Sus scrofa: one gene and its partners. The protein of the gene in region 1 purifies or fractionates together with the protein of each later gene. This does not show direct contact. Links are inferred from orthologs where the notes say so. Each region holds a gene or a part of one and is shown in the gene's direction. Other genes may lie near its edges.

The links.
Region 2: the proteins of SEC13 (region 1) and NUP37 purify together in Homo sapiens (affinity purification with mass spectrometry; 5 studies listed by BioGRID and IntAct, counting the BioPlex papers as one, with this or other methods). This does not show direct contact. The link is inferred for Sus scrofa from reciprocal best matches to the Homo sapiens genes SEC13 and NUP37.
Region 3: the proteins of SEC13 (region 1) and NUP85 purify together in Homo sapiens (affinity purification with mass spectrometry; 5 studies listed by BioGRID and IntAct, counting the BioPlex papers as one, with this or other methods). This does not show direct contact. The link is inferred for Sus scrofa from reciprocal best matches to the Homo sapiens genes SEC13 and NUP85.
Region 4: the proteins of SEC13 (region 1) and NUP133 purify together in Homo sapiens (affinity purification with mass spectrometry; 4 studies listed by BioGRID and IntAct, counting the BioPlex papers as one, with this or other methods). This does not show direct contact. The link is inferred for Sus scrofa from reciprocal best matches to the Homo sapiens genes SEC13 and NUP133.
Region 5: the proteins of SEC13 (region 1) and SEC23A fractionate together in Homo sapiens (co-fractionation; 3 studies listed by BioGRID and IntAct, with this or other methods). This does not show direct contact. The link is inferred for Sus scrofa from reciprocal best matches to the Homo sapiens genes SEC13 and SEC23A.
Region 6: the proteins of SEC13 (region 1) and NUP43 purify together in Homo sapiens (affinity purification with mass spectrometry; 3 studies listed by BioGRID and IntAct, counting the BioPlex papers as one, with this or other methods). This does not show direct contact. The link is inferred for Sus scrofa from reciprocal best matches to the Homo sapiens genes SEC13 and NUP43.
Region 7: the proteins of SEC13 (region 1) and NUP160 purify together in Homo sapiens (affinity purification with mass spectrometry; 4 studies listed by BioGRID and IntAct, counting the BioPlex papers as one, with this or other methods). This does not show direct contact. The link is inferred for Sus scrofa from reciprocal best matches to the Homo sapiens genes SEC13 and NUP160.

Annotation. Positions count from the first base shown.
Region 1 is NC_010455.5:66,521,612-66,525,684, reverse strand, and holds the start of SEC13 (protein SEC13 homolog), read left to right. Parts: upstream 1-1,273; 5' UTR 1,274-1,403; coding exon 1,404-1,406; intron 1,407-4,073. UniProt on the Homo sapiens protein: Functions as a component of the nuclear pore complex (NPC) and the COPII coat. At the endoplasmic reticulum, SEC13 is involved in the biogenesis of COPII-coated vesicles.
Region 2 is NC_010447.5:82,139,939-82,143,438, forward strand, and holds part of NUP37 (nucleoporin Nup37), read left to right. Parts: intron 1-113; coding exon 114-164; intron 165-2,459; coding exon 2,460-2,553; intron 2,554-3,338; coding exon 3,339-3,452; 3' UTR 3,453-3,500. UniProt on the Homo sapiens protein: Component of the Nup107-160 subcomplex of the nuclear pore complex (NPC). The Nup107-160 subcomplex is required for the assembly of a functional NPC.
Region 3 is NC_010454.4:6,072,973-6,076,472, reverse strand, and holds part of NUP85 (nuclear pore complex protein Nup85), read left to right. Parts: intron 1-22; coding exon 23-123; intron 124-2,362; coding exon 2,363-2,514; intron 2,515-2,885; coding exon 2,886-2,987; intron 2,988-3,500. UniProt on the Homo sapiens protein: Essential component of the nuclear pore complex (NPC) that seems to be required for NPC assembly and maintenance. As part of the NPC Nup107-160 subcomplex plays a role in RNA export and in tethering NUP96/Nup98 and NUP153 to the nucleus.
Region 4 is NC_010456.5:60,387,920-60,391,419, forward strand, and holds part of NUP133 (nuclear pore complex protein Nup133), read left to right. Parts: intron 1-1,926; coding exon 1,927-2,085; intron 2,086-2,722; coding exon 2,723-2,858; intron 2,859-3,500. UniProt on the Homo sapiens protein: Involved in poly(A)+ RNA transport. Involved in nephrogenesis.
Region 5 is NC_010449.5:61,112,416-61,116,559, forward strand, and holds the start of SEC23A (protein transport protein Sec23A), read left to right. Parts: upstream 1-1,344; 5' UTR 1,345-1,538; exon of another isoform or gene 1,539-1,725; intron 1,726-1,797; exon of another isoform or gene 1,798-1,868; intron 1,869-4,144.
Region 6 is NC_010443.5:16,248,103-16,252,318, forward strand, and holds the start of NUP43 (nucleoporin Nup43), read left to right. Parts: upstream 1-1,416; coding exon 1,417-1,629; exon of another isoform or gene 1,630-3,737; coding exon of another isoform or gene 3,738-3,770; coding exon 3,771-3,857; intron 3,858-4,163; coding exon 4,164-4,216. Other genes in the region: PCMT1 (protein-L-isoaspartate(D-aspartate) O-methyltransferase), read right to left, coding at 1,190-1,418. UniProt on the Homo sapiens protein: Component of the Nup107-160 subcomplex of the nuclear pore complex (NPC). The Nup107-160 subcomplex is required for the assembly of a functional NPC.
Region 7 is NC_010444.4:14,867,556-14,871,055, forward strand, and holds part of NUP160 (nuclear pore complex protein Nup160), read left to right. Parts: intron 1-350; coding exon 351-478; intron 479-563; coding exon 564-724; intron 725-2,837; coding exon 2,838-2,971; intron 2,972-3,500. UniProt on the Homo sapiens protein: Functions as a component of the nuclear pore complex (NPC). Involved in poly(A)+ RNA transport.

The DNA of each region.
Region 1 (4,073 bases):
CACCAGCAAATACCTTAATGAATAAGATAGAGTTGCACCATTTGTCCCAAATCCCCAATCTTTCCACACCAGGGAATTCCTTTAATAACAACTATGCTCCATGCATTGTATTTGTATTATAGCTAATGAGTCATTGTCCCCATTTTCAACTTGAGGAAAGAGAGGCTCGGAAAGAAGTAATATGACTTCATCATCCAGAGAATCAGTAATACAGCTACAGATCCGAGACCAGAGCCTACCCTTAAAAAACAGGCGACCCAAGAGGCCCTCCCCCTTTGTTCCCTGCAATATTTCTCCATTAGAGGGAAATTAAGGGTCTTGAACACTGAAGTGGGGGTGGGGGAGGAGTTACTGCTCCGAGGTCCAGCCCTGAGTTCTGTAAGACCCGACTACTCAACCCCTTCTCCAAAGCCCCTTGATAGTCTGGGTCTATTGCACTCTGAGCCTTAATTAAACTTCATCCCTCCAACAGTGACCGTTTCCTGCTAGGACTCTTCCTTCCAATTTCAGGAGAGGAAACTGAGTGATTCTGACTCACCCAACTGGTGCCTAGGCTCCATTCTAAGTCACTGGATTCCTTAAAGCCATGAGGAGCCCAGAGCTGCCAGACCATGTGTGGCTGAGGGGAGATCCCAGGCTCTGTCCAGCTGTACAGCCAGTGGGAAGCCAGAGACCTAGGGTTTGGGGAAGCTGGGGGTTGTCTCCTGGGCTCTTGCTGCCTGAGCCTGGCTGAGATCTCTCCTTGCCTGGAAAATCTATCTGGTGGGCCTGACTCACAGGATCCCAGAGCCGTGAGGAACAGGCAGCTTGGAGGTCTGTGTCTTCCAGCTTGGAGAGGGCCTGGCGAGAGGCTCAGCCTCTGGTAGGGGGTTATTCCCTGGCCTTCTCTGTCCCTGGTCCCAACCTTGGGGTCTGTGGAGAGACCAACAACAAGGAAGTACTAGGACCGGTCTACCCATTACCTCAAAAATTAATCCCCCTACAATGTTCAACATAAGGCCAGTGGCACCCAAAACCGCAGAGAAGTGGGTGAAGGTGTAGTTATGTATGAGTCCTTTTTCTTAAATGTGTGGATCTCAGGAAAAGGGAAGAGTTGGCAGAGAGAAGAGAGACTAGACCTTCAAATTCCAAGTCCCCAGATCCTGGTCGCAGTGGAAAGGAGAGTCCCGCCCCTTTACGTCTTGCGCAATCTGCACCGAGAAGGAGTGGGGCCAGGGGAGAGCTTGGCACCGCCCCTGAAAGGCCCGGAACCTTTGTGCGAGCGGAGCGTGCTGCTACCCGGAGGCTCCCTCTAGGTGCCCGAAGGCCGGCCAGCCCGGCGCCGGAAGTGAGCTGTTCCCGGGCGCCGCCGGGTCCTGCCACGTCCGAGGCCTGGAGCCGCCACCACCTCTGCTGTTGCCACCATGGTGAGTGCTGGGGACAGAGTCGCCGAGGGGGCTTTCGGCCGCGGCCTCTCGGATTCCTCGTTGCAGGGAGGTTGAAGCCCCGGACTGGGGCCATTCAGCTCTCCGTTACCGCTTCGGGTTTGGAGGGCCGCAGCCCTACAGGTCTGAACGTTTTGGAGGCAGAGGCCGGGGGAAGGCTAAGCGGAGGCCGCGGAACCCTCCGGAACGCTTCGGCCCCCGCTGCTGCTGCGTCTCCTGCTCCTTGCTTTCCTTCTTGTTCTCCAACAATGGGAAAAAAAACCCATAATACCTTAGGAGGTACTGTATCCTGAGCCCTTGGTAGGTTCCAAGCAGTGTTCCTAATCTCAGTCGGCTAACAGCTCCGTGAAGTCGGTGTTGTTATTATCGACCCTTGACAAATACGGAAGCTAGAGGTTCAGGGAGGTGAAGCTTTTTGAGCAGCGAGTGGCAGAGCTGAGATTCAAACCCTCGAAACCATTACTTTCCCCCTCCTCCCTTCCCAGCAGAGGTGTTTATGGAGTAGCTGCCTGGCCCAGGGCCCGGAGGTGTGATGGGCATTTTAGGAAACTGATGTAAAGATGAACTGAATGGCTCTCTGAGGCAGGGGCTCAGGTGTTTAAACGTCTGTGGTGCACAGTGTACATTGACTCTGCACTTATTCATCCAGTGAATGACCGCCAGCGGGAACTAATGAATGGAAGCAAATAGCCTGAGCCTGGCACAGAGTGAGGGTTCAGTAAAACATTGCTCTCAGGAAAATGGGCGTGCCTGGGGTTTTGAGGAAACCCAGGTGGTCCCAGGAGTCAGGACGCTGGCTTTGGTTCTTGCTCTGCAGGGGACCAGGTTTTAAATTACTCGGGGGTTTTTTGGCCTCTGATTCTTCAGCTGATGAGTAGAGTTGGGGGTCTCTTATGCCCTGACACTCAGCTCTTTCTAATTGAGTTTTTAAGTCATTAATTCTGAAAAGCTGATTGTTTTTGAGGGCCGTCTCTTATTAATGAAACCAGACGACTTGAGGTGCTCAGGAGGAAGGGCTTTTTTTAAAAAAAAAAAAAAAGGAGCTTAAAAAACAACAACAAAAAAAACTACACTTGTTCAGAAGCATGATTGGTGGGTGAGAGTGATTCAGAATAAATGCTAGTTATCTCCAAAGTCCTTTGGTGACCTAGTATGAAACTAGCAGTAAACATTCTTCCTGCTCCTACTTAGCCTTCAGCTCTTGACTGAGGGAATTGGGCGTAATGATGATTCTGTGTTCTGGAGAGGCAGCCTCTTCGGGTAAGAAGCTCTGTGGGCTCCAGGTTAGCAGGTGGAGCTCTTCTCCCAGTTCCACCTTAACTAGCTTTAGTCATTTGAACAAGTGCTTTATCCTCTCGGGGCTTTTTCATTTCCTTAGTCTGTCAGACAGCTCTGCCCTTTGGCCTTCCCAGTGCACACGTGAGCACACTTTATAACCAGGACAACTTGGCATATGTGGGAGATGCCTCTCTTCCATACTTGGCTTTGCAGACCTCAAGGGCCTGCTGCATAGGGCATCTAGATTTGGATGAGAGAACCCTTGCTTACTTGACGTGTACCTTTTGAACTGCTTTGCAGCCATCCTCTTCCAGGGTCCTGACTTTCGGAAAAGTCAGGTCAGACTTTATACCTGCAGGGCTTCTGCTGGAAAAAGGTGAAATGGTAAGAAATATTGGTTCCAGGTGTTCCTATAGTGGCTCAGCTGGTTCAGAACCCAGCTAGTATCCATGAGGATGTGGGTTCGATCTCTGGCCCCACTCAGTGGGTTAAGGATCCAGCATTTCCATGAGCTGTGGTGTAGGGTCACAGACACAGCTCAGATCTGGCGTGGCTGTGGTGTAAGCTGGTAGCTGCAGCTCTGATTGGACCCCTAGCCTGGGAACTTCCATATGCCGCACCCGCGGGCATAAAAAGAAAACCAAAACAAACAAACCAACAAAAAAAACTCTGTCCATTTTTGTTCATTTACTTATTCAGCAGACAGCCACTGAGTTCCTTCTGGTTGCCAAGCACTGTGATTTGAGAGCATTCAAAATTCCTGATGAACCTGACCCTGGTTCCAGGCAGCTCACCTTCTAGTTGTAAGAAGAAACAGCATAAAGTGTCATAGACATTTAGTGTTGAAGATATTCAGAGGAAGCCAGCCAGTTGGGAAATCTGGGAATCTTCAAGGAGGGGAGGCAGGGAGTTCCCGTCGTGATGCAGTGGTTAACGAATCCAACTAGGAACGATGAGATTGCAGGTTCAATCCCTGGCCTTGCTCAGTGGGTTAAGGATCTGGCGTTGCCATGAGCTGTGGTATAGGTTGCAGACGCGGCTCAGATCCCACACTGCTGTGGCTCTGGCGTAGGCCGGCGGCTACAGCTCTGATTAGACCCCTAGCCTGGGAACTTCCATATGCCACAGGTGCAGCCCTAGAAAAGTCAAAAAGACCAAAAAAAAGGGAGGGGGGAGGCATAATTTGAGCTGAACCTCAGAGAATGGGTAGGAAGGCGATGACCCTAGCAGCTGTGTGCCCGCCCCACAAACTGGGCTCTGTCACAGGTGGTGGAGCAGGGAGCAGCCTCGGGAAAAACTTGAATCAATTCTCAAAGTCTTAGGTATTAACCCTGTTATGCAAAAAACTGCCTAGAACATGAGAGTCTGTCA
Region 2 (3,500 bases), on another chromosome or scaffold:
CAGTTTAAGTATATTGGACATTGTGTCCTTAAGAGAGAAAATAACTTTTAAAACTTAGGTTCCTCTACTTGAGACCACTACGTAATTCATAAAAGTAAATTACTGTCTTTTAGTTACCCTCAAGATAAGAGACCTGTCCACATGGATCGAGCCTGCTTATTCAGGTAATGTACCATTTTTGTTAGGGTTTTAATTTGACTTTTTGAGTTTGGTTACTTTGTGCTGTGCCAACTCCTGAAATACTTTCCTATTCCTCTCTTGCACTGATTTTTTTCTCTTTTTTTTCCCCTGATTGTTCTATAAATGTATGGATATTTGGCTCTCCTAACACTTTGCTTTTGTCTTTTGGTCTAGGTGAAAGATTTTTCCAATTTTTTTGGAAAAATTTTATAAAACAAAACATGTTGCCACTCTACCAATATCACCCCAACAATTGGGAGCATATGCTTTCTTATTTTTTGTGCTGATAAAGATGTAAAATATAGGTGGACGCATGTTTGTAAAGAACTACATTATTGTTCTTTAAATGAAAACATGTCGAATATTACATATCTGCAACTTTTTTCAGTTAAATTAACATACTTGTGTACTTTGTTCTTTTTCATTCATTTTTTACATAATATTGCATCATATAGTATAGTCATTATTGTGCTTTCAGCTTCAGGAAAATTTACTAACGGAGACTAAAAACCAGTAGAACAGGAGTTCTGTTGTGGCTCAGCAGTAAGGAACCTGACTACTGTCCATGAAGTTGTGGGTTCTATCCCTGGCTTCATTCACTGGGTTAAGAATCTAGCATTGCTATGGCTGTGGCATAGAAAGGCAGCTACAGCTCCAATTCAACCCCTAGCCTGGGAACTTCCATATGCTGCAGGTACGGCCCTAAAAAAGACAGGAAAAAAAAAAGGGGGGGGGGAGGTCCCATCATAGCGCAGTGGAAACGAATCTAAATAGGAACCCTGAGGTTTCTGTTCCATCCCTGGCCTCGCTCAGTGGGTTAAGGATCCAGTGTTGCCACGAGCTGTGGTGTAGGTTGCAGACTCGGCTTGGATCTGGTGTTGATGTGGCTGTGGCTAGGCCAGCAGCTGTAGCTCTGAGCAGCAGTAGCTCTGATTAGACTCCTAACCTGGGAACCCCCATGTGCCATGGGTGCAGCCCTAAAAAGCAAAAACAAAACCAAAAACAAACCAAAAAAAAGACCAAAAAAAAGTAGAACTTTTATTATATACACTATTTCATCAAATCTAAAATACCCCCAATAAAATTGTAGAAACTGGGGACACTACTGTTTATGTACTCCTAAGAAAGAAATGTATTCGACTAAATGTAAGAATGCCATAGATGATAAGGTACATCCTGATTTCAGAGATATAAGCAAACACGCATTTTAGTCAGTGAATTATTGTACCCAAGTCTGAAGGAGGTAGTCTCAGGATTGTTTAGTAGCTCATCAATGTCATTAAGAATTCAGACTTTCCCTCTGCCATTCTCAGCGGCAAGGCTTTGGGCTTGTTGCTTCACAGTCACCAGTTGACCATCATCACCTCTTACCACGTTATCCTGAAAGGAGAAGGAGGAGCACTCTCATAATTGGGGATGGCTGCCTTAGCCTTATAGCAATTATGTCTCATCCCTTGGGGTCAGACATGCTGCCAGAACATAGGTGGGGTTCAGTTAGCAGAAAAAAAGGTAGAATGGCTGTTGGACAAGCAACTAATAATGTCTGCCACACACTAAAATATTAAGTAGACTTTAGCCGTTTGTGTCTTGTTGTTTGTTTTTTTGTCAAGGAATCTTTTTTTTTCCCTCCTACAGCTCCACATTGCACCTCTTAGTGCTGGGCTTGTGGCTGGAGCTCCATTAACACTTGTTAATTCATTGATTCATTGTATTCCAATGTCTGTAATGCCTTAAACATCTTTGTATTCTAAGTGTTTACATCATTTCAGGGAGTTTAAACTCATGAGTTTATCACAAATTTTAAGACAAATGTCAATAAGAACATTAAATGTGTGGGGTTTTTTAATGTAGTATACTGTGAAATATTTTCTGATTCCTTGTTTGTATCTCCTGTCATAAATACCATCAGCCCTTTGGTTATAAGAAAGGAACTGCTAACCTAGCGAAATTTAACAAAGTATCCCATGATCACTTCCCTAAATTCTCAGTCTCATTGTAAAGCCATATTATCAAATTTAGGATTATAAAATTATTTTTGTGTAAAAAAGAAATAACCTATTTTTTAAAAACTCTCTCCCTCAAGAGACTCATAATTTAAAATATTTTAAGAAAGAGAAAAAATGAAAAAGGCAGTAAAGAAATTCAGTCTTGCATTTGTCATTGGGTGAGAAGGGGAAGAAGGTCCTTATTATCTCCCAGGTGTGAAATAACCTATTTTAGAAAAGCTTATAGTTACCTGTAGAATACTGTACTAATTTTCATACTTTATGTTTTCTTAGATGGTCCATGATTAATGAAAACTTGTTTGCAACCACTGGTTATCCTGGCAAAATGGCAAGCCAGTTTCAAATTCATCATTTAGGGCACCCTCAGGTAATGTGGAGATGTTTGGTAGCATATGTGGTTTTTTTTTTTTTTGTCTTTTTTGTTGTTGTTGTTGTTGTTGTTGCTATTTCTTGGGCCGCTCCCGCGGCATATGGAGGTTCCCAGGCCAGGGGTTGAATCGGAGCTATAGCCGCCAGCCTACGCCAGAGCCTCAGCAACGCAGGATCCGAGCCGCGTCTGCAACCTACACCACAGCTCACGGCAACGCCGGATCGTTAACCCACTGAGCAAGGGCAGGGACTGAACCTGCAACCTCATGGTTCCTAGTCGAATTCGTTAACCACTGCGCCACGATGGGAACTCCGCATATGTGTTTTTAAATTTGTTTTGTACTTTTCCACTTATAGCCCCCGGATTTGTAATGTGTAACCAAAAACATTTATGAATGTCTGTTACCTGCTTAAATTGGAAGGAGATGGCATTTTTTGATGTTTAAATCAAATGGTAATAGACTTTTTGCCAATATTCATGTAAGAGGCATTTTATTTCCGCCTTCATTTAAGTACAATAATTTTGCTTGCTTGATTGGTTTATACTGCAAAAATGTTTGAGTCTGGACTGTACCGATTATACATAGATTTTATTTGTATCCTTCATTCCAGCCAGCTGCAAACAAATAATGTGTATTTCGTCTATGAGGGAGCACATTTTTTAATTCTATTTCCACATAAGCAAAAATAATTTATCAATCATATTTCTTATTTTTGAAAGGTAGTTTTTATTTGTTAATGTCAATAATGTATTGAGCTTCTTTACTTCACATATTTTTATAGCCCATCCTCACTGGTTCTGTAGCTGTTGGATCTGGCCTTTCCTGGCATAGAACTCTCCCACTCTGTGCAATCGGAGGAGACCACAAGCTGTTGTTTTGGGTGACGGAAATGTAAAATGAATTTTCTGTGTACTTTAGATCGATAAAACTGTATTTTTAGTAC
Region 3 (3,500 bases), on another chromosome or scaffold:
CCAGGCCGGGCCTTCCTTGCAGGTTCCTCAGGGATTACTGTGAGCGAGGCTGCTTTTCCGACCTCGATCTCATTGACAACCTGGGGCCAGCCATGATGCTCAGTGATCGACTGACGTTCCTGGGTGAGTCTGGCCTCTGGCCCCTGGACCTTCAGCACAAGTGGGCCGTTACAGAGATTGGAGGGATGGTTCTAGACTTCTCCAGGCCAAAACACATAGACCCGTGTGCCAGTCTCTGCAAAGCACATATTTTTGTGTTGTTTGTCTTTATAGGGCCGTACCCACAGCATATGGAGGTTCCCAGGCTCGGGGTCAAATCAGAGCTGTAGCTGCCGGCCTACACCACAGCAACACCAGATCCGAGCCATGTCTGTGACCTACACCACAGCTCAGGGCAACGCCAGATCCTTAACCCACTGAGCGAGGCCAGGGAATTGCACCTGCGTCCTCATGGTTCCTAGTCAGGTTCGTTAACCACTGCGCCACGACCGAACTCCCAAGGCATATTTTTTGGTAACATTTTATCTTCCGGTAATTTCAAACTTAGAGAAAAGTTATGAAAATAGTATAAGAAGTAAGGAATTCCCCTATACTCTTTACCCAGACTCACCAGTTACATATCTGGCCTCATTTCTCAGTCAGGCTTTTTTGGGAATAACTTGAAAGTAAGTTGGAGACACTGTTTTCCTTTCTCCATAAACACCTGCATATGTGTTTCCTTTAGTAAGAACAGTCTCTTACTGGAGTTCCCATTGTGGCTCAACAGTAACAAATCCAACCAGTACCCATGAGGATACGGGTTTGATCCCTGGCCTCGCTCAGTGGGTTAAGGATCCCATGTTGCCCTGAGCTCTGGTGTAGATTGCAGACTCGGCTCGGATCTGGCTTGGCTGTGGCTGTGGTGTAGGCTGGTGGCTATAGCTCGGATTCGACCCCTATCCTGGGAACTTCCAGGTATGCGGCTCTAAAGAGACAAAAAAAAATAGTTCTTTAACCAGTTCTCAAAATTAAGACGTTCAGCACTGATCTAACACCCTTTCACAGGCCACGTTCTGATTCCATCAGGGACGCCCTTCATTTTGTCCAGATTCGTGCATTTAGTTTTCATGTCTTACTAGTGTCTGTTGCCTTTCTTGGTGCTTCTTTAACCTTGACATTTTTGAAGAGTCAGTTCAGCTCTTGTAGAAGGTTCTCACTTTGGGTTTATCTCATGAGCAGGCGCAGATGGTGTATTTGGGCAGGAATTCCACTGAGGTGGTGTGTTCTCTGAGCTGTCTATCCCCTTACTGGTGGAGTTCACTGTGACGGCTTGGTTAATGTGGTGGCCACTGGGGTCTCCTCTGCGTAGCACTGGTTTTCCCTTTAATAATTTGTGGGTTATTTAAGTGCCTTGTTCCTCATCAAACTTTGACCCACTAGTTGTAGTAACTACTGGTGGTTTTCTGACTACCATTCCTTGTGTTTTAGTTGGCATTCCTCTGAATGGAAGATGTCCCTTTGTCCCCCTATGTTCTTTCATTTATATCAGTACATTTTTTGTTTTTGTTTTTTTAGGGCCACACCCCCAGCATGTGGAGAATCCCAGGCTAGGGATCGAATTTGAGCTGGAGCCACCAGCCTACACCACAGCCATAGCAATGCCAGATCCAAGCCGCATCTGCGACCTACACATCTCACGGCAACACCAGATCCTTAACCCACTGAGCGAGGCCAGGGATCGAACCTGCGTCCTCGTGGATATTGGTGAGATTCATTATCCGCTGAGCCACGAAGGGAACTCCTACATCAGTAAACATTTGATGTTTATATTCTCTGGCATGTGGCTCCTTGGAGCCCCTTGTGAGCATGTGGTGGTTTGTTTTTGTTTCTTGGCCAAGCCCTTGGCATGCAGAAATTCCTAGGCCACCCAGCCTGTGGTTGCACTGCAGAACTCCTTTAAGCATGTGTTGTGGTTTTTTTTTGTTTTTTTTTTTTTTGTTTTTTTTTTTTGCCATTTCTTGGGCTGCTCCCACAGCATATGGAGGTTCCCAGGGTAGGGGTCTAATCAGAGCTGTAGCCGCCGGCCTACGCCACAGCAACGCAGATCCAAGCCATGTCTGCAGTCTACACCACAGCTCACGGCAATGCCGGATCCTTAACTCACTGAGCAAGGGCAGGGACCGAACCTGCAACCTCATGGTTCCTAGTCGGATTCGTTAACCACTGAGCCACGACGGGAACTCCTTAAGCATGTGTTTTGAATCCTTTTGGTTCCATCGGTCCATGAGCTTGGAGGCTGCTCTGGAAGAATTTCCCTGCTCTGTGGAATAGCTAGTCTGTGTTAGGGCCAGGGTGACCTGTTGGTTTTTTTCATTCTCCATAGGAAAGTACCGTGAGTTCCACCGGTTATATGGGGAGAAGCGTTTTGTTGACGCTGCTTCTCTTCTCCTGTCACTGATGACGTCCCAGATTGCCCCCCGGTCTTTCTGGATGACGCTACTAACAGACGCCCTGCCCCTCTTGGAACAGAAACAGGTATACTGAGTCCACCTTGATTTTCTTCTATGCCTTTCATCCTGTAGCTGTTGCAGATGCATGTACATCCATCATCTCCTAAGTGGGTCTGTGTGCGTGTCCCCCCAGGGTGCCAACTCTGGAAATAGATTCTGCAAAGCAGACTACTTAATTTGAAATGGAGCAGCTGTTTGCTGACAATGCTCAGCCTAGGGCCCTGTCACGAAGAGCTGGGCCTGAGAATAGGCGTGCTCTGCCCTCCCTGGGTTGCATTTCCAAAGCACACTCCTTCAAACGGGATGCACAAAAGGCTGGCTCAACTTGGACTCATACCCAGAGCAGGGCAAGCTGTGGTTGGGGAGCAGCTAAGCGAAGCAGCACCTCTCCCCTAGGTGATTTTTTCAGCAGAGCAAACGTATGAGTTGATGAGATGCCTGGAAGACCTGATCTCAGAAAGGCCAGCGCATGGAGAGCCCGATGCCCAGCAACTCCAGGTCAGTTTAGCTTTTGATTTGTTGGTTCCACAATGGAGATGAGAAAAGGCCCCCAAAACACTGGCTCTGGAATTCACATCATGGCACAGCAGAAACGAATCCGACTAGGAACCATGAGGTTTCAGGTTCAATCCCTTGCGTCACTTGGTGGGTTAAAGGATCCTGTGTTGCTGTGAGCTGTGGTGTAGGTCGCAAATGCAGCTCAGGTCTGATGTGGCTGTGGTGTAGGCTGGCAGCTGTAGCTCCAATTAGACCCCTACCCTGGGAACCTCCATATGCCATGGGTGCAGCCCTAAAAAACAGACCAAAAAAACCACCACTGGTCCCTTACAAACTCACATGCCTCTCAACCTATGACTATGAAACACCAACTTCTTTGGGGTGATTCTAGTGTTTGGCCTCTTGATTGCTTTCTTTCCTGGTAGTCAGAGGTCCTTGGCATGTGGTTCCATCTCTGGAAGATTTGGCTGAATGTTAAACACCCTTTATCTACCTTTGGGTAGATAGTCCTGG
Region 4 (3,500 bases), on another chromosome or scaffold:
TGGGGATTTTGAAAGATGGTACAGTCTTTTAGCAGTTAAGTAAATACTAATTTGTACATTATGTTTCCTAGTAAATTGGCAGAAAATCTCTATATAAATATTATTAAAAGATTCTTTGACTTTTGAAAAATACGCTGAGACTTTTATTTCTGTTTTTATGTTTTCAGTTCTAATGAAAAGTCCTTGGGTATATGTGGGTGTTGGTAGAGCTCTGGAATTTGAATAGAAGATCTTGGGAGCTACTTTTACAGAGTTCAAATTTCCATACACCTAAGAGTTTTGTTTTCCTTTTTTGACTGCGTGCTAGGGATCGAATTGGAGCTGTGGCCACCGGCCTATGCCACAGCCACAGCAACTTGGGATCTGAGCCACATCTGTGACCTACACCACAGCTTACGGCAACGCCGGATCCTTAACCCACTGAGCGAGGCCAGGGATCAAACCTGCAACCTCATGGTTCCTAGTTGGATTCGTTAACCACTGAACCATGACAGGAACTCCCCTATTTTTTTGTTAATGCTTACTTTTTAAAAAGAAAGTTCCCACTGGAGTTCCCATCATGGCGCAGTGTAGACATGGCTCGGATTTGGTGTTGCTGTGCCTGTGCTATAGGCCAGCAGCTGCAGCTGGGATTCAACTCTTAGCCTGGAAACTTCTATGTGCTGTACCTGAGGCCCTAAAAAAAGAACAAGTAACATTGTATAAAATTCAGGAAACCACTATAAACAAAAAAGATTAGACTGTTTTTTTCTTTTCAGGGCTGTACTTGTGGCATGTGGAATTTCCCAGGCTAGGGGTGGAATGGGAACACAGCTGCCAGCCTACACTACAGCCACAGCAATGCAGGATCCAAGCCACATCTGCAACCTACACACTGTTCATGGCAACGCCAGATCCCCAACCCACTGAGTGAAGCCAGGGATTGAACCCACATCCTCATGGATACTATTTGGATTGGTTTCTTCTGCACCACAATTGGAACTCTGAGGTTTGGGTTTTTTTTTAATGTGTTTGTGGGAGAAAAGGAGTGCCACGTCCTAACTGCTCAGCCATCTTGATCCTGCCTCCCCCTTTGTTACATTTATTTCATTTTGGTTTCAAAGTTCTTGTGGGACTGGTGTGTTTCTTGCAGAATCTCCCCTTTACTGGGGCTATCTCTGAAATACGATGAGACTGCAAGACATTTTTGTCTTCCTTCCAGCCCAGCCTCTCATAGCACTCTAGCATCCCGCAAACATCCTGCATGGAAAGCTGGCTGGAGTTTGGGGCCTCTCTGGCACACAGTTCTACGGAGAACCTTTCATTATGGAGTGATAGAGCCTCGGCACTGCCCAGTAGAACTCTGTGATAATGGAGATCTTGCTCATAGATGCTATCTCAGATGGGAGCTCCTGGCCACAGGTGGCCATCGAGTACTTGAAATGTGGCTGGTGTGACTGAGGAAATGGATTTTACATTTTAGATTAAACAGCTACATGTGACCAGAGACTTCCATGCTGGACAACACACATCTAGAGTCTGTGATCTTGAGACTTCAGCAATACCCCTTTCTGACTGAATGTTCTCATTAGGCAAATGAGGTGATTAGCCCTACAGTGTAGGAAATTTGTGTTTAAAACAGGATTTCTCTTCTGGAGTTTAAAATCTCTGGAAGAGGAGTTCATGTCGTGGCTCAGCAGTAATGAACCCAACTAGTATCCATGAGGATGTGGGTTCGATTCCTGGCCTTGCTCAGTGGGAAAGATCCAGCGTTGCTGTGAGCTATGGTGTAGGCCAGCAGCTACAACTCTAGTCCTGAGGACTTCCATGTGCCATGTGTGTGGCCCTAAAAAAAAAATTTCCTTTGGAAGAAATTTATTATCAGAAGTGTATTTTTTAAAACTGTATTACTAAATATTATTGGATTCTTGGCTCTTTTCTTTGTAGAATTTTTCCGACTTTCTCTTCCGTTGGTATCTTGAGAAAGGAAAGCGGGGCAAATTATTATCTCAGCCCGTTTCTCAGCATGGACAGTTGGCGAGTTTTCTGCAAGCTCATGAACATCTCAGCTGGTTACACGAAATTAACAGCCATGAATTAGAAAAGGTAAGAAGGATTCAGTTATATAGAGTAGGTTTAGGCAATTTTTAATTTAGTTTTAACTAGGTTTTTGAATAGTTGAATACTAGTTAAATACTACTTACAGATTTTTTTTAAAGTATGTCTCCTTTCACATAATTTGATACAAGTATTTTTCATTTATGATGGTATTACCATTACTTGCTATACCTCAGTTAAAAAAGAATTAAACCTATTATGACTTGACTATTATTACAGTGAAATAAATCACAAAAACTTTAACATGTAAATAGCAGTCATTGGCCTTCTTTTGTAATGAATTTTTCTTATAATAAAAATGTTCACATTACCAGTCAAAACTGTACATGAATTAAAGTCTATCCTTGATAGGGTGTCAAAGTGAATATATAATTGTTATAGAGCAAATGTTTTATTTATGTCTCATTTCCCAGTGATTAGTGTGGGTGACTGATATTTATTGTGTAATCACTCTCAAATTATGGTACTGTTCTGTTTTTAGGTTTGTTGATAGTGCCTTGATCTTCCATTGATAGAGCTTGGTTAGGGGTAGGGGAACCAAGTTTGGGTTGTATTTAACCTTCATTTCAAAATGTGAGTTAGTATCCAGGACCTTACTACAGTTTTCATATTTTGTTTATTATAGGCTCATGCAACACTTCTAGGTTTGGCAAATATGGAAACTCGTTACTTTGCAAAGAAAAAAACCCTTCTCGGTTTGAGTAAATTGGCTGCATTAGCTTCAGACTTTTCAGAAGATATACTACAAGAAAAAATTGAAGGTAAAAGACAGTATTTGAACCAGAAGACTACACATGAGTCATGCTGTCAGTGTACTCTTAGAATGGGTTCCTATTAGCGCTTACTGGGACCCACTAGAAACAGGAGCCCTTTCTCCTTTGAGGGAGTGCTTTCTGGTCAGTGTCCTTAGACAGTTACCCATTTTCATAGTCAGGATTCCCTTTCTATAGAAAAGGAATTTGTGCTTTAAGTAAGAATTCCTGAAGAATAAATTCAAATGATTTGAACAATATTTGGATTACAACTTTAGTGACTCAGATGCTAAGAACCAGAACTGCAAAGAAACTTGACGTTTACTTAGTGGGTTTGCTATAGGTGGTAGTAATTTTGAAGCTATTGGTTTCAGAATTCAAAACTTTTTGGTGTCATAATAGTGAAACCATTTTGTGTATATTGTGGATTGATATGATTGAGTGTATTGTTATTTTTGAGAACCAAGGAGAAAGGAGATATAAATACAGAAGGAGCCTGAATTGCAGATGTCAGATATAACCGTGGTTGTCTGAAAAGTGTAATTCTTGGCTCTGTCCTCTGAATAGACCTAAAAGTGGTGACATCTGGTAGCATGAGTCCACCTATCCCATACTTGGTTTGAGCTCCCACTTCTCCACAAAAGGAAATGA
Region 5 (4,144 bases), on another chromosome or scaffold:
TCTTTCAGATGAAAACATAGGGATTATGACTTCTTAGACTTCAGTGACCTAAATGGCAAAGATACTTTTCTGGGAATCATGAAATGAATGAAATTACCAAAGGTACTATACTTTGGTTTATTCCTCATTGAATTCTAGGACTCCTGTGGATCCTCTCATCTATGTCTATTTACCCTACTCATTCTTAGACCATATTTCTTTTTGTGAACATCTTTATGCAACCTTTATATCATCGTCCACAGCTATTTTCTTGCTGCACTTTCAATTAAGAATCCTTATTAAGGTAAGCACCCGGAGCCCACTTTATTTGCAGGCCTACCAGAATTTTGGTTTTTGATTCCCATTTCCTCTTCAGGATTGTACTAAAATTTGACAAGTAAACTCATTCTCTTCTACATTACAAAACAAGCTTAGAGAAAGAAAAATATATGTTTGACGTGTATCTTATTTCTTGTAAATATAAGCTTTGAAGAACAAAAAAATTCTTCTTTTTCTCTATTCCATAAAATGCTTATAGGGCTAAGCTTTGCAGGATTTTAGATGTTGTCATATCTAGAGTCAATTTTGTGAGGAACCCAGTCACTGAAGGATGGGGTTGCCTGAGACCTCCAAGCTAGAATGTCTTTCCAGCCTGTTCTGCCTGTCCCATTTTTCCCAATTCTTTTTGTGGAGTGAGAAGCAGAAAACACATCAAGATTAATCAGCGAAACATTGTAGTGTGTGTGTGGCTGTGTGTAAGGGGCAGAGGTGACACAGGCAGTGGAGGAAAGTGGTAAAATGAATAGGCATACCTAAGTAGTACATAAATAGTATGCAAATTCTTGCAAACCAGGGATTTTGGCCTGTTTTGCCTGAGTCATATCACCAACATCACTACTGTGTCTGGCCCAATGTAGACAGATGTTCAGTAAACATTTGCTGCACTAAGTGAAAAAACGAACTTGTGGTTCTTGGAACCAACCAGGGACCTAGAGGAGAGAGTGTCCCACAGGACTCCACCACTTCTCTCGGCGAACTGAGGATCTAGCGACAGGAGCTCCTTCCTACCTCCTTGCGGCCTGCAGAGAGTGGGATCCGCAGTGGCTCCCGGCAGAGCGGACAGGAGCGCCACCGCGCAGCCCCACCCTAGCGCTCCAGTTCCGCGCGGGTCCAGCGTCCCTTCGGGTTTGTCACGGTTGCCACGCCCCTTCGGCTCCGTCCCCGCCTCTTCCCCTCCCCTTTCTCCTCCCATCCCCTCCCCACGCGCTGCTCCGCCCGGCCGGGTCCCGCACCCTTCCCTGCTGTTCTCTGGCCTGTTCGCCCCGCCTCCAGGGTCGTCCCCTCCCCCTCTCCCCTTCTCGCCCCGCCCCTCCCCCTCCCTTTGACGTGGCAGAGGCGGCACCAGCCATGTTGGTCCAGCAGGGTTCTGCGCGGAGGCCGGGGGCGGGGCGGCGCCGGCCTTGATTGAGGTGCCACGGCTGCTTCGGCTCGGCGGAGAGGACGGATTTTGTAAGGCGGCGGCTGCGACAGGCGCGGATCTTGTACCAGGTGCCCTTGTGGTAAGGCTCGACTTCAGGGCCGCCTCCTCTAGGCTCCCTTGGGGGGCCGCGGGTGTTCGGTGGGAAGCGGGGGAGGGGCGGCTTGAGCGGCGGCGGGTCGGCAGCGGGCGGAGGTCTCAAGCGTGGTGTCGGTTCTTGGTACCTCGGGCAGGCGAGTGTGCTGGGCGGCGACTGGGCCCGGCGGGGGCTGCCTTGAGCCCCGAACCTGTCACCCTCTCACCCACCACTCTCTGCTTAGTTCTACCTGGGCCTGGGCTACCCCATCACCCAGCTCCCCTGGATCAGGTGTGAAAGATGGGAGTCCCGGGTGAAAAGCAGCAGTTCGGGCATCTCCTCGCACCTCACCCTCCGCTCGGGCCAATCTGCCTTCCCTACCCCACCCGTCACCGCTTCAGGGTACTTTGGCTTCTTGGTTCATTCCTTTCCTGATCTAAAGAGCCCTAGACTTTGAACCGAGGTGACTTCGTCACCCGTAGTTTGGCCTTGGGAATTAAAGGGGATAAGGAGAAAAGTGCCAGGTAGAGCTAACACCTTGTGCCTTGATTAGAAATAGAGTTTAGTTTTCAGATCGGACCAGTCATTATTTTAGTCTGACCCTAAGTGTTTTTCCGTTTTGGTGATAAAGGAAAAGCCATAGTAAGTCTGCATGTAATCACTGGAGTATGTTGAATTCACGTTTTCACGTGGACGTCAAGTTCCACTCATCAAAGCTGTGGATAACTAGCCAAATTAACTTGGTTTAAAAAGTTTCAGATTTAAACATAAATTCATGTTAAGTCTTCCTTCTCCAGTGGACTGATTGACGGTTGTTTTTGGAAGTTCAGTCATTTTTAATTGGCTCAGAATTTTAGATTTAGAAAGGGCCTTGTAGTTTTCTAACGTAAACCCTTCACCTTATTGATGAGAAACTGAGGAATATAGAGGTTATTTGTCTAATATAATAAAGCTAGTCGTGGGAATTAGTTGAAGACACTTTATTGAGGATTTTTAGAACAGGAGAGTTGGAGAGGCACATTTAATTATTAACAAATACATCTGATTGGAATGAAATCAAATTTTACTTGTAATTTACCTGATTTTTTTTTACTTAGGTATGTGCAAAAGGGCTAACATTTAAGTATTGAAAAACTCTTACTTATTATTGAATAGGTAAAGCCTTTTAAAATATATGGGCACACATTTGATATGCTAGGTTAAAGTGACTAATGCTTTTTTATTTAACTAAAGTAACTCTCAGTGATTATAAATTGTACTGAAAAATGAGGCATTTCTTTAGAATGGCCTTTTGTGTTTTGTACCACTTTAAAAAAAAAGTGTAATGACTAGTAAGTTAAGGCTGCGTTTTAATCATATTTATTTGGTTTTATGCTTTATACAAATGTAATATTAGGGAATATTATATGCTTATCAAATAATACCATCCTCCCTTGGAAAGGTGAGGTAAGTTGGGGAGATGTTTTGCATGGCCATGTAATTGGACCAGTTAAGAAGAAACAGGTGGGAGTTCTCTTTGTGGCTCAGGGGTTAAGAACCCCACATAGTGTCCACGAGGATGCAGGTTCCATTCCTGGCCTCACTCAATGGGTTAAGGATCCAGTGTTGCTGCAAGGTACAGCATAAGTCACAGCTGGGGCCTGGATCCTTTGTTGACCTGGCTAGTGGCTTAGGCCTGGAGCTGCAACCCTGATTTGACCCCTAGTCTGGTAACTTCCATAGGCCACAGGTATGGCCCTAAAAAGAAAAAAAAAAAAAAAAAAAGGAAGAAACAGGCTGGATGTTTTTGAAATTCCTGCTGGAAAGCGAGAATGTAAGAAATAGAATAGGTGTAATTTAATGAGCAAGTGTAATCTTAGTGCAGAAATATTGAGAGGAAAAAGAGTGAGGAAGAGGAGAGGTGAAAAAGTAAGGCTGTAGAATTAGAATCTAGATTTGTTACCTGTTGTAAAAACTTAAATCTGGCCATTGCCTGTGTGTAAATGTTTTCTTCTGTGTGTAACAGTTTCATAGAGCCTTTTTTCTACTAGGCTTTCTGATTTTGAATTAAGCCCTGGAGTTCAAAGGAGGTGATTCTCAGAACCCCTTTATACTCTTAAACGTTATTGAGAATCCAGTGGGAAAAAAAAAAAAAGCTGACTTAATAGAAGACAGGTGGATTTTCATATTTACTCTGTGCAATCTATTGTAATATGTTGGTTGGATTATATGAAGGAAATCTGGCCTCCCATAGATATGTAGTTGGAAAAAGGAGAGATAGGTTAATACCTTTTTCAGATAATTGTGCATGTTCTTTGATACTATACCAAAACTCAGCAGTTTTTTTTTAAATTTTTTAAATTTTTTATATTATTTCTTGGGCTGCTCCCACGGCATATGGAGGTTCCCAGGCTAGGGGTCTAATCAGAGCTATAGCTGCCAGCCTACGCCAGAGCCACAGCAATGCAGGATCCGAGCTGCATCTGCAACCTACACCACAAGCTCATGGCAACGCCCGATCTTTAACCCACTGAGCAAGGCCAGGGATCGAACTCGCAACCTCATGGTTCCTAGTCGAATTCGTTAACCACTGAGCCACGAGAGGAACTCCTCAGCAGTTTTAATTAAGAAAT
Region 6 (4,216 bases), on another chromosome or scaffold:
ATTTAATTGACATTTACGAAAAAAGGAAAGATTATTAAGTTCTCTGAGAGAACTCAAATACGTTTTTTAAAAAGTCTCAGCCCTCAAGGAGGTTACAAATCGAATTAGGAAACATGACAAACACATGAAAAGCTAAATAATCTATAATATATTATATATATATACATGCATATAATTAAAAATACCACGTGGCAGGATGTGATTATTTGCAAAGTCAGGGGCAAAGAAGTGGGCTACAAATCTGACCAGAGTGAGAGAGTATTACGAACTCTGGTCTTTCTGGTCTCCCGACCAGACGGCGACACTATATTTCGATTTAAAAAAAGAAAGTGACACAGCACTCGTCACCCTAAAATTATCATCAGAGAAAGGAATACAATAACTAAAGAGAATGGTGTAAAGAAACTTCCATACAAAGCTTCTAAAGCATACAGTAGCCCTGGAAAAAGTTAGAACATTCCACATATACAATCCTTTGCTGGATCCCAGTATCTCTAACGGCTCCTGAAATACATGTCTCTCGGGAAGAGCATCCCCTGATGATTTCTTCCTCCGCCCCCCACGAAGCTTTCCCTTGGACAGCCGCCCCAGAAATTTCTCCCAGCATCCGCAATGACAATACTCTCATCTTCCTCTCCCTCCCCTCGCCAGTATCAGACGGTGGCATCTCCCTCCAGAGGAAAAATCAGAGGGCGGGGGAGGCAGAATAGGAGAGAAAGCTTGCAGCTAGGTCGATTACGACAGAGCAGGAGGTGAGAAGACGCGGGGGTCGAGGGCGGGGTCCCCTCAGTTCCAGCCCAGTCTCCAGGAAACCTGGCCAACATCCCACTCCTCAGGACACGCCCCTCGCCGGACCCCGATCAGGGGGGGACGGACTCGAGTGACAGCCCCACCACCTGTGCCTCGCCCCTTCCCCCAGGCCCGCGGGGAGACGCCTGTCCCTACCCCACCAGCAGCGGCCCCTGGGTCTTTCTCTCCGGTTCCCGTCCACGTCCCCGAAGAGTGACAGGTCCCAGGGGAGGCAATCGCAAGCGCTTGCCATTTGGGACCGCTGGTGCAACCCTGCGCCTAAGCCCTCCAACAGGCACGGGGAGGAGGATAGGGACAGAACGTTCCGGGCGGCCCAGGGGGACCTGGTCCAGGCCTGGCCTTCCCCACTTGCCCCACACCGGGCGGGGGTGGCACTTACTGCGGAGGTTGTGGATTAGCTCCGAGTGGCTGGCGCCGCCGGATTTCCAGGCCATCGCTAGGCACACCCGGAGCAGGTACAGAACCACCTTCAGCGCGGCGACGGTGCCCAGCAGCTTCCCCAAGAGTGAGACCACCTCCCACACGGTCACCGCCCCGCTCGCGTCCCCGCTGTGGCCGCCGCTGTGACTGCCGTCGCCGCTGCTGCCGCCACTGCGCGCTCCCGGCATGCCCCGCGGCACGCATGCGCCTTGTGACGCCGCGCGGCCTCGGGTGCGGCCGGGGTGGGGCCGGAGGCGGGGATGGCTTGGTGCCCAGCCGCCCGCGTTAGGTCCCGTTGCGGCTGCCCGGGACTGGCGGGATGGCCCGGCTGAGTCAGCGCCACCGCCTCTGCTGCGTGGCCTTTCTGATGCCGCGGGCTGCGCAACGCCTCTTTGCTGGGTTTGCCCTGCGGCCAGGCGGGCGGGGTGGGCCCCGGCGTGGTCGGTGTCGCGTGCCTCACTACAGCTCTGGTCACCCAGCGCGGTGAAAGGATGGTAGGGCCGATCTGGTTCCGCAGCTGCCGGTGGCTCTGCAGTCGCCGCTGGGTCAGCTGCTGCAAGCGGCGGGGCTGCTCCTATAGCTGTCCAGGTTGTTAGACGGTGGGCTTTCTCCGTCCTGCCTCGCCCAACCCAATGAATGACTAATACATAGGTCAGTTAGATCCAGAGCTCCCTATGGTGGAGCTTGAATAACTGTAATAGAACTGGAAGGAAAAGGTCCTCTCTAACCCAAGTACTCCAGCCTTTGACTTGTGATAAGTAAGTTAGCGTTTGTGAGCAGAGACTTTGGGATCCTAGTTTGTTCTCAGCTGTAGAGCTTGAATTAGAAGAGTGGAAGAATACTGAGACATGGCGTGGGGGGTGGACTGTGGGGAATGCTGTGCTTCTCAGAACTTGTTAAAAATACTACAGTATCCTATGGCAAATGTGTTGTTCTCCCAACACAAGTGTGCATTTTCAGCTATTTAAGCCTCACAAATTCCACCGTTAGACTGGACACCAGCTTTCTTGCTATTAGCTGTGCAAGAGAATGAGTGAAAAGCTGACAAGGAACATTGCCTGTAGCATCCAACTCACTGACTTATAGTCAGAACCGAGAGTGGAAAAATCCAGTCATCATATCACTTAATACAATAAACTTTTAAGGAAGGAAATAAAGCTATGTCAAAACATCAGTGCCACTGTGTCAGCAACAATTTTCAAGCTTCTCACCAGTCCTTGGCAAATGTGACACTTATCTAACCCTAATCTGAAATATGTATTATTTCTTGGGATTCTGCAACAGTAAAGAAAAGTGTACTTCAATACTGGGGGCAAATTTTCAGTTCGGGACTCTAAATTTTCTATTTCATTATTAATTTCTTAATAATCTTGCAGTTAAAAGCAAAACACCAGTCAGTTTTCAATAAGAACCTGATAACTGTCTCCAAAGCTGACCTAGATGGATTGCATTTCCATGCGATGCTTCCACAAACTGGCTGTGAAATAGGACTACCAAGATCAGATAGACACAAAATCATGGCCCCATTTAAAGAAATAACCAACACAGTTATAGCTATAGTATAAAGGAGGTTTGTTTGGTTTTTTTTAAGATGAATATGTCCTATCTTTTGTAATAATAGGATTTACCTTCTAATTGGGGAGGTTTACATTTTTAAAAAAAGCTAGCAACAGGAAGCAAAATGTAAGTGCTCTTAGTGGTCTAGATATTAAGGGATATATTTATTTAGATCGTCTTGGGCTGAAGTAATAGGAAAAAAAAACTAGAGGAAGGAATTAATCCTTGAAAGATAGGGAAGATTCTGAGGCAGAAAGGAATTTTTTTTTAAGGGCGGAGGTAAGCAGTCGACGTTACATTTCAAAATCATCTTTAATTATATGCATAAATGAATTGAGGAAGGCTACAAAGGCAATGAGAGTCAAAATTATAACTGGGGTCTTCAGAATTCCAACTCGTTTGATAGTGTGTATTAAAAACCTTGAAGAGAAGGATTTGTTTGGGGGACAGGGAGAGAGAGGCTTTGAATAATAAATTGGTACGTTAATGGATGTACTTCCATGAGAATATAAGGATTTTGAATCTTTTCTATGCACGGTGAAATTCAAGACTTAATACTTAGGTGTGGCTATTAGAGCTTTTCTCTCGTTGACTCTTTTGCTTTTTGCTTTTTAATTTGTTATGCATTGCACAGTTACTGCAGAAATGCACCGCGTCACTGTTCACATGCTGACTTTGCAGGTTTGGAGCAGATCCTACAGCACGGGGACGGGCACACTCTTGCCTCTGTTCAGAGCCGCCTGGCTGAGGAAGAGCGTCCCAACTTCTTCCCACTTAGGGGCTGCTGGTTCTTTCCCCGCACTGGAGACGGAGGAAAATTGGCCCTCTGTAGCCACCGTCCTCTTGAGGTCCGGTCCAATCAAGGCTTAGCGGAAAGGGGCGGGACTGAGTGGCGCGCGCTGTGCTTCTACCTCTGCTTCTGCCTCTACCTCCCCCGGGTTGCTTTCAGCATGGAGGAAATTTATGCCAAGTTTGTGTCACAGAAAATCAGCAAGACCCGCTGGCGACCGCTATCTTCGGGGAGCCTGCAGACGGCGGAGACCTTCGCCACGGGCTCTTGGGACAATGAGGTACCCCTACTCCCGGGCCCCTGCCTCCTCTCTCCCTCCTAGAACTGCACCCCCGGCTGCCAGCGCGCGAACTCTCTCCGATTCTAGCTTCTCTCGCCCTTCTCTGTCCCCTGAATGCCTGTCTCATGCTCGGTTGCCCAGTATCTCAAAGCCATCGATGGTGTGTGTGTCTGAGTCTCGAATCTCGTTGTGTTTTCAAGGATTATCATCCCATTTGCCTAAAACGATTTTAAAACAAGGTTGATTGAAGGCAATGAAAATTTTAATTTCAGCGAGTTTGACGTGTATTTCGTCTTTGCTTTACAGGAAAATTATGTTTCACTGTGGTCTATTGGAGATTTGGGGAACGTGGACTCTGA
Region 7 (3,500 bases), on another chromosome or scaffold:
GGGTTCTTAATCTGCTGGGACACAACAGGAACTCCAGTGTTGCAGCTTTTAACCAGAAAGTCTCACACATTAACTTGGGTCTGGAAACAGACTCATAAGTTATGGCCTGGCTATTAACTAAGCTGTAAATTTTAAAACATTTTCCTCACATTGATTTTGTTTGTCATTTCTGAAAAATAGAGGGAAAATTAGCTACATGGAATAAAATATGTTGCGTGCTAGCATGATTATCTCCACTCTTTTATTATGTGGTTGGTTTTCCTGTTTCGTAGAGCATTTAGCTTACAGGATGTGTAGAATCTGTCTTATGTGGTCTCAGTAGTAATAGGAGTTTTCTCATTTCCTCATAGAGACAATGTGATGGAGGATATTTGCAGTAAACTGCAAGAGATTCGGAACCCAATCCATGCCATTGGACTTGTTATACGGGAAATGGATTATGAAACAGAAGTGGAAATGGAAAAGGGATTCAATCCAGGTAAATGACAAAACAACAAACATGCCTTTTTCATTTGATTTAGAGAAAACAGTAATCCATTTAACTTTTTCTTTTTGAATTACAGCTCAGCCTTTGAATATTCGAATGAATCTTTCCCAGCTCTATGGTAGTAGCACAGCTGGGTATATTGTGTGCAGAAATGTGTGTAAGATTGCCAGTACTCGCTTCCTCATCTGCCGAGATCTGTTGATCTTACAGCAGCTACTAATGAGGCTGGGAGATGCAGTAAGTACTACTCAGGGGAGAGCTTATGAAATCTAAATCCTCATCGAGACCTATGGGCGCAATAGCAGAATGCCAGCTTTTTGTGCACAGACTTCTGTCTCTGTTCACTGCTCTCTCCCCCAGGCTTGGCCCATAGTGAGTACTCTATAAAATGCATGTCGAATTAAGAATGAGTACGCATAATAACCTACAATTACAGAGTAAGAACATCTATGAAGCAGGTTGTTTTACTCTTAACCTTTGTATGTATAATAGTGAGAAATTTTCCTAGGTCAGCTCTGTGCAGATTTAGGAGGTTTTTTGTTTGTTTGTTTGTTTTGCCACACCTGTGGCATCCGGATGTTCCTGGGCCAGGGATCGAACCTGCAGTGCTGGGTCCTTAACCCACTGAGCCACTAGGGAGCTCCCAAGTTTAGTGTTATTAGTTCAACGTTGGATGTTGGTATAGAAAAGAAAGGAAGAAGAAAAAAACTCTATTTCTGCAGTATAGGATTTACCCTAAGAAGTTTTGAGATGACAGAGTCTGTTTTAGGGATCCTCCCAGCTCCTTTCTGTGCTTCCTTTCCATCCTCTTCTAAGGCCACCAGATTCTTGTTGCCTTCCTCCTGTCCTTTCCCACCCTGCTGAATTCCCCTCCCCCCCCCACCCAGAGGGGGTGCACCGTTCCTGGAAGTACTACAATACCAGATTGATGCGCAGAGTGGATGGAGCAAGCTCCTGTTCCAATTCCTAGCCCCAAAAATCCATTTAATATATTGTCCTCAGATAGAGGACGTATCATATATTAAACTGATAAGAACAGATACTACACTTGATCTTAGCCAACAAGCCAAGTAGCGATGAATGTTTTATGTTCAAAAAAATGTCCCTTTCTGCCCACCAGCAGAAGGCCCATTTGTCTCTCACTCAGTAATTTTATCTGAGCCTCATAAGGAAGCAATCTGATTAAACTAATTCATGTTAATATATAAATAACTGATAGGCTTTTGGAGCCCAAGAGGTATATATACTTTTCAAGTCAGAATATATTTACTCAAATACCTTGCTGGTGGCAGGATTTCAAGTAAAAGTAAGGACAAAATAGGAAGATGATCTGTTTAGGACGACCAGGGAGAAACAGGAACCTTCCTGAGAGTCTCTCACTCAGGGCAGCCCTTGCTTAGTTCTTTTCAGTCTTTGTAGACTCTTCCATTTCTTCAGGTTTGGGTTTTGTTCTGTTTTGTTTTTAATTATAATCTTTGTCAGTGTTTTCTAAACACGAAATAGATATTCATTGTAGAATCTTTATAGGTAATCCTGTATTTATAAACAAAAAGAAAATAAAAATTCATCTGTAACTGTTTAGCCACTATTTACATTTTCGTATATACCCTCATTTTCTCTGCAGATAGTTTCTAAATTTTAATTACAAAATTTGCATATGCCATATATGCATATGCCAATTACGTTTTTGTAATCTGGTTATTTTTATTCCTTTGCTTTACAAATCTCACCAGCACGTTCACGTGTTATCAAGTATTTTTGTACAACATTATTTTTAATAATTGCCTGGTACAATTTTAATTTATTCAACCAATCCTGTGGCCATCCAGGTTGTGGCCAGTTTTCCTCTTATTGATAGAACTTTCTTTACTCCTTTGACTATGTCCCCAGGATGAATTCCAAGAACTAGAATTGATTGGTCCCAAGTTACCCACATGTTTGAGGCTTTGGTGGTCTTATCACATTTTCCTCTGATGGTAATATCTATTTTTACCCAAGACCAGAGGCTTCAGAAAGGACTTAGATTTCCTTATTACCCTTCTTGAGTTCTGGACTTACAGATTTAATGAAAGTTAAGCTTGATGTTGTTGTTGCTCTGTTTCACCATCAGCTCACATGACCTTGTGAGCTTTTTCTGATTGTTTTGTACTGCTATTAGGGTAGATGTTTTTGCCATATGCCGCCCCAAAATGTAATAGGTGTGTTGCTTTTGTGTATGCTTGTAGGTATGTTGCTTTTATGAATGCCCTTTTTAACTGTGTTGTTTTATTTTATCTATACCTAAACCTAAGAATTACCATTGCTAATTGCTGTTTACTGTTTCACCCACCCACCCACCCATCATGTACAGGTGATTTTGGGAGCTGGTCAGCTCTTTCAAGCTCAGCAAGACCTACTACACCGAACAGCTCCCCTACTCTTATCCTATTACCTCATTAAGTGGGGAAGTCAGTGTTTAGCAACTGATGTTCCAGTTGACACACTGTGAGTTTCATTATTCTAATTATTTTTAAAACAAATTGTGAGCGTAATTTATTTTTTCCACTGTCTTAAAGAAAAAAAATCTAAATATTATGCCATAGAGTGATTAGCCTTTAAAACTCAGAGCTTTGAGATATTCCATCTTCCAAAGGCTAAAGGCAACTTATAAGAATGAAAATAGTGTGTTTTTATTATTATATATGTATATAAAATATAAAGACAAATCCTGTCAAAGGCAAAATAATAAGAGGAGGTCACAGGGAAAATTAGACCACATACAAAAACATGTAGTTATTTAAGGTAGGCTGAGATTCTTAACCAAAAAAAAAAAAGAAAAAAATCAATATATAACTGTAAATCTTATATTTCCCTTAGATAAGCCACTTTAGTTTTTTCTGGCAAGGGAAGGCTTTTCATGGCCTTGGGGTCAAGAGAAATTTCTGCTCTGGCTTCTCATTGAAGGATCACTGAATGATACAGGGAACAATCTACACCATGTCTGTTTTTCAGATTTTTTTTTGTGCTTTCAGTG